Bombyx mori: one gene and its partner. The protein of the gene in region 1 interacts with the protein of each later gene in a biochemical or structural test. Links are inferred from orthologs where the notes say so. Each region holds a gene or a part of one and is shown on either strand. Other genes may lie near its edges.

Region 1 (3,515 bases):
CGTTCCTGGCCTGTCCTGTAATACGACCGTCTGTTAGAAGCGGGACTTCGGAAGCGACGTCGCCTCGGGAGGTAAGTGCGAGCTACCGACCCGCCGCCGCCGCACGGAGCGGCTGTGTCCGCGACCTGCCCGCGCGCCCTCTACCGGGACTACTAAACCTCACACTAACTAGGCGCGCCGCGGGCACCGTCGCGACCCACATCCGCTCGCGTCGCTATAAAAATCATTTGTCAATAGTAATGATAATATATATATATAAATATAGAGATATATAAAACAGACAAATTATTCAGAGATAACAAATCAATGGCATTGTTATCGGGAGCGTGCGAGCGTCGCCCGCGCCCGGCGGCCGCCGTCTCGACTCCCCTCCGAGAGCAGTGCCACAGACAGACATTAACTTTCAATTATTTCATATTCATTTATTAAGAAAATTAAATGTAATCAAAGTCACGACTCAGGTGATTAGATCATTTCGCAAGCGCATGTGTCCGCCGGCACAGCGGCGAGACATGAGGCGCCGCTCGACGCGGGCGGGGATCGAACCCGCACTCGTGGACACTAGATTATCTAAAGGTATAACATTAGGCAATTCAGTTTATGCAGAAACTGAGAGAGTACATTAACATCAAGACGGAGCAGTTCATTCAGAGAGCGTTCCCGCGTGACGTCACACGATCTGGACAGTGATGGCGGCGGGGGACAGGTGGGGGGCCGCCCCCGACCTCAGCTGTTCTCTACTGTTATATGTCCCCCTACAAATCCAGATATTGTTTTCGTCTCCAGTGCGAGCCCCGGAGCGGGCCGGGGGCGGGGGCGGGGTTGGGAGTGGAGGTTCGGGCGTGGAACTGACCTGTTCTCTCTTCCGCTCCTTCTCCTCCTTGTCCCTCTTCCTGATCTCGGCGAGGTACTCGTTGAAGTATACCTCCCTGTCCCGCGGCTTCTCTATCGCCTTGAACCGCTCGTCTCGGCCGTGCTTGGAGGAGAAGTCCAGGAACGAGGACCTGGCGATGGAAAGCGCTAGTTAGTACCAAGCTAAATCTAATATTAAAAAAAAAGCCATGCCCGCTGAGTTTCTTCCCAGTTCTTCTCAGGACGGAGGCTAGTTTTTGTGAATTGGCAGTAGTTCTTTTTGACGTTCAACAAGTATGTACTTATATGTATATTGAATAAAATAAAAAATTTGATTTCATTTGGTGCGTAGTGCCGCTACGTACTTTGTATGAAGCTTGGCTTCGTCCAAGAGTTGCTTGAAGTTCGCCTTCTTTGCTAGCAATCGGTTTTTCTTCTCCTTCCTCTCTTCCTCGGCGCGTTCTGTCACGTACTGATTAAATATCTGTGCAAATAACTATAGTTCAACATCATTTCAACATTTAGGCTCGGTTCTGCCCCTGGCATTGCTGAAGTCCATGGGCGACGGTAACCACTCACCATCAGGTAGGCTGTGTGATCGTCTGCCTACAAGGGCTAAAAAAATCAATTTTTTTTTAGACGGGTCAGATTACTGGTGGCTCAGAGACGTTTTCAATTCCACCAGGACGGGAGGGGTGGGCCCGAGTATGGGTTAGTTACCAGAGCCCGCTCATAGCAGCTGCCGTGAACGTCTGATAGTTGTGTTAATGTATCTGTGAAGTCTAAACGTGCGTTTCTTTTTTTTTTTATTGCATAGATGTGTGGACGAGCTCACAGCCCACCTGTACATGTACAAGTATAGTACAGTATAGTACAGTGCGGCACGTGCCTGGCGCCGCTCCTTGCAGTTGAGCACGAGGTAGCGCGGCTCGAAGACGATCTTGTGCAGCTCCTTGTCCCAGGTGCTGAAGGCGGAGACGTTCTTCTCGCGCAGCATGGCGCGGAACGACGCCACGCGCTGCTCGTGCGGCACCGCCACGCGCACGCGCGCCGCCCGCGCCTCCGCCTCCGCCGGGCTCACCTCCTCCAGCTCTGCAACATATGCGTGCAGGTCACACACGGTGGGAGTCAAGAACTAGAGGTCCCGCAGTAGTCGAAATTCGACTATAATTAATTGGAATTGTAAGTTTGCACACTGTTATGATTGTATTTTCAACGCCAAGACTACAACACTATAGACAAATATTAACAAAGAAACAATATTTAATCTATTCTCAATTTGACCACAGACGTCAAGAACAAAAGTTTGACAATAAATAAATAGTATGCATGCGAGTGTGCGTCAAATACATGTTATGTAGTGTGTGTAATGTTTTCTTTATTGATTTAATGTATCTTTTATGCATTGTGAACGTTTCATTTTTTCGTTTCATCGAGTTTGATATCACATCACAGTGATCCTAAAGAAGTTTCACTTCAATAATAATGCAGATTAAGACATTATTGAAAGCATCGTCTCCCATATAAAGACGATTTATTACTAAAAGCGCGGAAACACACATCGTTTGTACTATTTCTTTTATAAAATAAACTCAGTGCCAGTCACAGTTTCCTTTTTTTAAAAGAGCTCTTGAACGCACCCCGTAACAGGACCACGGACCGCACCCACCCAGACTGCTGGTCATTCATTGCCAAAAACATTTTAGGATTATATGGGACAAGTGGCCCGCTCCGGCTCCGCTCGGGTCTTTAACAAAAATTTCAACGATGTTTGACGTTGTTTTATTTGTTTAAATAAAAGAACGCTTATTGCGGCATAACTATAATTGTTAGACATATGCTGTCGTGACACTTTGTGTAAATAATAATGTGTTCTACAAAGTCGTAGTACATTATTTTATTCTATCATCAATAGTTTCGCAGGGCACGCGATGTAAAGAATATTTTTGGGTAATTTTTTCAAACCTTGGGTTATATTATTCGAGTTTTAGTAAGAATCCCTAATTCTTTTCAAAAAATATTATATCCTATGTCACTGGGGATTAGTATAGCTTCCAAACCGTGAAAGAATTTTTAACATCGGTTCAGTAGTTTCGGAGCCTATTCAATACAAACCAACAAACAAATCTTTCCTCTTTATAATATTAGTATAGAACAGCCTTTCTCAAAGTGGGCGATAACGCCCCTTTGTGGGTGCTGCAGACCTAAAGGGGGGCGGTAAGAGACCCAGAAAAAAATGGGGGCGTTGTGTAGAGGCTTGGGAAACGATTTGTAATTTCATCTAGAAGGACCCTTATATACCGACTAAGCTCTCGCTATAGTAGTTTTTAAGTAGGTTGAAAAATGGGGGCGCTAAAAATAATTTATTCTCAAAGTGCGCAGTAAACAAAATAACTTTGGGAACCACTGGTATAGAAGAACCAAGTCTCACGGCATCGTCGAGAGCATACTAACTTTCTTCAATCTTTGGTTTCTTGGCGGCGGTGGCGGCGGCGGCGGCGGCGTCCGCGTCGGCGTCGGCCGGGCGCTTGGTGTCGGCGGTGCTGGTGACGGAGGGCGTGGTGCTGGACACGCCGGGCTCCGACTCCTTGCCGCCCACGGTGGACGTGATGCGCTGCACAGAGGGGCGCGGCTACAGAGCGGTGCGGGGGTGCGGGTGCGGG
Region 2 (3,977 bases), on another chromosome or scaffold:
AAAGTTCACGCATTGTCGCTTAGTCATGTTTGCCTTTCAAACGTCGATATGTGTATCTGTAAAAATGTTCATTTGTTCAACCCACCAACCCGAGAGTAAATCAAGCAAACAAACCTATCTTTAGACTTCCTGCCTCGACTGCGGCTTCGAGAGCGACTCTTGCTGCGGCGTTTGTCCTTATGTCTGTCTCTACTTCTGCTCCTTTCTCGATCTTTATCCCTGAATATAGATTGAAACAAATTTAATCAAGTATAAATGATAAATCTATACTAATATATAAATCTACAGTGGTTTTTGCGGATGTTCCATTATAACTACTGAACCATGCATTTGATTGCCTTGAAACTTGGTATCCATGTAGAAAATAGATTTACTTAATGGATAGGCTTATATTTATATGAGTGTTAGACTCCCTACACCAGTTGCGGGGGCGCTAATGATGAGCATCTTTGTGGGGGTGAGAAATAATAATGTTCATTTAAATGCACAGCGAAGCGGACGGGTACAGCTAGTCATTGATAAATACAATACCTAAACAGACCAAAAGTGAACACAAAATTAAAATTTTGATTCAATTAGCTGTCTTATAATATTTTTGAGAAAAGCATAAATAGAAAATTACATGATTTATGGGGCTGACATAAGTTTCACTTGCTTGGGATTGTGTAGTAGTAGTGTGTAGATTTGCAACTATATTAAAATTGTTCTTTTTATGCAAGTTGCCTCGTTTCCATCATTGGCTTGAACTCATAAATGACTAAGTTAGCTTTTGTAAATACATACACATGCTGTTAAGTGTTTTTTTTTTATTATTAGTTAGTGTTAACAGTGAAATAAGCCTTTTAACAAACTGGATTAATAGAAATAATTTTTAATTGATGCTAGTACTAAGATAGAAAACCCATCTATAGATAAAACAAAATAAAACATAAACAAAACTGCACCTATGAACATTTAAGATGTACTTATTTATATGACAACAAGTAAAAAACCCCCATTTCTTTATAAACATTGTTTTAAGATGTATATTATTATAAAAGCAAATCTTTAAATTCACTTTGGTTGATAATTATAATTAATTTCAAAATTACAATTCATGTGGCTTATTTATTTAATAGACAGAATCAAAAATTTCTAATTTGGTCATAAAACCTTTATTAAGGTTGGTTTCATTTTTTGCATGTTTACTTTTAAAATGGCTGTTTCAAATTTCCATATTCTTTGCATTTTAAAAAAGCTTGTAGTTTTTTGAAAAATACTATTTTCATTTTCTGGACTCAGTATCAATTATTTTGTTTTTGTCTCCTATATCATTCAATATATTCTTGTCTTCACTATCTATACTTATGAACTTGTATCCATCAATAGTAGTAACACTTGAATCATTTTGATGCTCTGTGTTATCTACTTTCCTTTTACTTAATTCTCTATATCCTTCAATTATATTACCTAAGCTTTATAATAATTTCAGATATCTTGAAGTTAGGATTTTTATTGCCCTTGTAGGCAGATGAGCATACGGCCCACCTCATGGTGTGTGGGTATCGTCGCCCCTGGACTTCAGCAATTCCAGGGGCAGTGCCAAGTCGCTGCCCATAAAAGGATATTTTAGTTATAAGAATTAAAATTGAATTATAAATTAGATGGAATAATTGGTCAATGTTTTCCTTCCAAAATAATTGAATGGTTGTTTGGATTTCAGACACCAGATGTGAAGAGAGACTTGTCATAGTTGTCACTAAGCAAGGGCGAGGGGAGTTCAGTTTACAGTCAGATGGTATGTGGTAACAAATATATATGAAGACACCCTGTGGACAAACACGGTGGTTCTAAATAGTGTGGATGAACGATGATCCGGTGATGAGTGGTGTGATCGTAAATTATGATGTTGGGGTCATCAATGCCTCAGAGAGTTCCTAATAGAATATATGGTACAATACACAGATAGACTTAAGTTTCTGTTCTTCTAATTTCTGTCATTTGTATGTCCTGATGGTTTCCTCACTCAATTGTGAACTCTAAAGATTTAAATGCTAACAGGGGACTGTTCAAGCATGAGCAAATTGGAACCATCATTCTGTAAATTTTCCCAAGCAACAATCATACGCTCAGATTTAAGGGATATAACAGCTAATGTACCACAGCAATTGAGCCATCAATGTAAAGGTGAAGAGTGACATCCTCATGGCATTTTTCTAAGCAGACCAGTAACCGCTGACTTCAAGTGGAACTCTTTTAAGCTCAATTAAACTTGAAATACAATCACAAAACTCGCTTTTACCACGATAAATTCATATCTGGTGAACTTTTTAATGACAATGTGACATATTTACCTTTTGGAACGACGGCGGTCCCTGTCGCGGTCTCGATCACGATCCCTATCCCGGTCCCTGTCTCTATCGCGATCTCTATCCCTATCCCTGTCCCTATCACGATCACGGTCCCTATCGCGGTCTCTATCACGACCGTGATCTCTATCCCGGTCCTTGTCGCGGTCGCGGTCCCTATCCCGGTCTCTGTTCTTCTCGCGATCACGATCTTTATGACGATCACGGTCTCTCGAACGAGATCTGCTCCTATCACGGTGTCGAGAACTCATCACAAGTAATTATGAAATAGCAACGTTTTATTGATTCGTTAACTTCAGTATCACTTATTATGCTTAAATAAAATCAAAGACCTTTTTGTGATCTTATGTACGCGAGCGAAAACCACTTTCTGCAAACTATAATCGACACGATAGCCGCCTGCCGACAAAACAGACGCAATCAAAATTAACAAAATGGTGGTTACCATAGATTTCATAGATAATCGTATTTTTTGGGTATGGCAACTTGTTGCATTACTATTAGTGCCAGCCTCGAGCTTAAAACTTAAAACACAATTAAGTGGGAAATTTTCAAATAGCAGATAAGCCATATACTTCCTTCTGTGAATCTAGCATGACCACTCGAGGTCACTAAAATAGGTAGGAAAAAAATTTCGTTTAGTCACAGTAATTAGCGATTTAAGCTATTTATTTTTTAGCTCGAGATGTAGGGCCAGAAATCCATCCATCACTGCGACACACATGGATCTTTTGTGGGTCAAATGATCTATCAGGATTTTTCGTATATCTTTACAAAGTATCTGTTTGTGAGGTTATTAAAATACCATAATATCAGGAAGAACTATCTAAGGAAAAGTAGTATTTTTTTTATATTAGAGCTAATACGAAATATAAGAAGAGGATTCGAAGAGGTTCTATAGATGACCTAAAATAATAAGATAATGAATAAATATCAAACTTAATGTCTGCGTTGCGCGTTGCTAGAATTTTTATAGTCTTTAACTTTTCAACATGACAAGATATTCAGTAGCAAAAAAGCACTGGATTTTAACGGAACCGAGGAAAGTTGTTTTTTTTAGGCAAATGGAGAGAAGAAACCTATAGCTTATTATTTAAGGGCTCGTGTATGGTTGTACAAAATTATCCATGTCCTCATAGAATAATTGAGAACATATAAATAAAAACAGAGTTGTTTAAAGAGCCCTGGCAGGCAACCAATAATAATTTCGGTACTTGTTAAACTTCTTTGTTGGTCGTTAATGACTCTGGAACCAAGGATAGCCTCAGGCCATAGCTTAATTTTTTTTTCTGATCTTAAACTGAATTTGACCTTTTGGCGGGAGCGCTACGAGTGAAGTGTAAATGTTTTTTTTCTGTTAACATAGTGTTTATTCGGATTTAAATTTTTATTAACGATGACTTATTAACTCTTTAGCATCTGTGAAAGTGCATAAGGGTGGGAATGGTAGCTGGACTAGGCTCTCCGGTTCCTTCCAAAAAGTCGACTGAAGTCGGTAAATTCTAACTACTTTGCTGAGACTATTTAATTTCATCTCATGCCGTTTAACTTAAATTTATCCCGATTGATTTCAATAACAAATAAGCTTCACGTAATTTCCATTCATAGCATTGTTCATAATATAACAGA

The links. The genes of interacting proteins can lie anywhere in the genome.
Region 2: the proteins of transcription elongation regulator 1 (region 1) and splicing factor 1 form a complex in vitro, tested with the Homo sapiens proteins (3 studies listed by BioGRID). The link is inferred for Bombyx mori from reciprocal best matches to the Homo sapiens genes TCERG1 and SF1.

The regions. Positions count from the first base shown.
Region 1 is NC_085130.1:19,188,180-19,191,694, forward strand, and holds part of transcription elongation regulator 1, read right to left. Parts: intron 3,467-3,515; coding exon 3,307-3,466; intron 1,945-3,306; coding exon 1,742-1,944; intron 1,337-1,741; coding exon 1,218-1,336; intron 1,005-1,217; coding exon 854-1,004; intron 1-853. UniProt on the Homo sapiens protein: Transcription factor that binds RNA polymerase II and inhibits the elongation of transcripts from target promoters. Regulates transcription elongation in a TATA box-dependent manner.
Region 2 is NC_085112.1:799,941-803,917, reverse strand, and holds the start of splicing factor 1, read right to left. Parts: upstream 2,808-3,977; 5' UTR 2,600-2,807; coding exon 2,334-2,599; intron 220-2,333; coding exon 115-219; intron 1-114. UniProt on the Homo sapiens protein: Necessary for the ATP-dependent first step of spliceosome assembly. Binds to the intron branch point sequence (BPS) 5'-UACUAAC-3' of the pre-mRNA. May act as transcription repressor.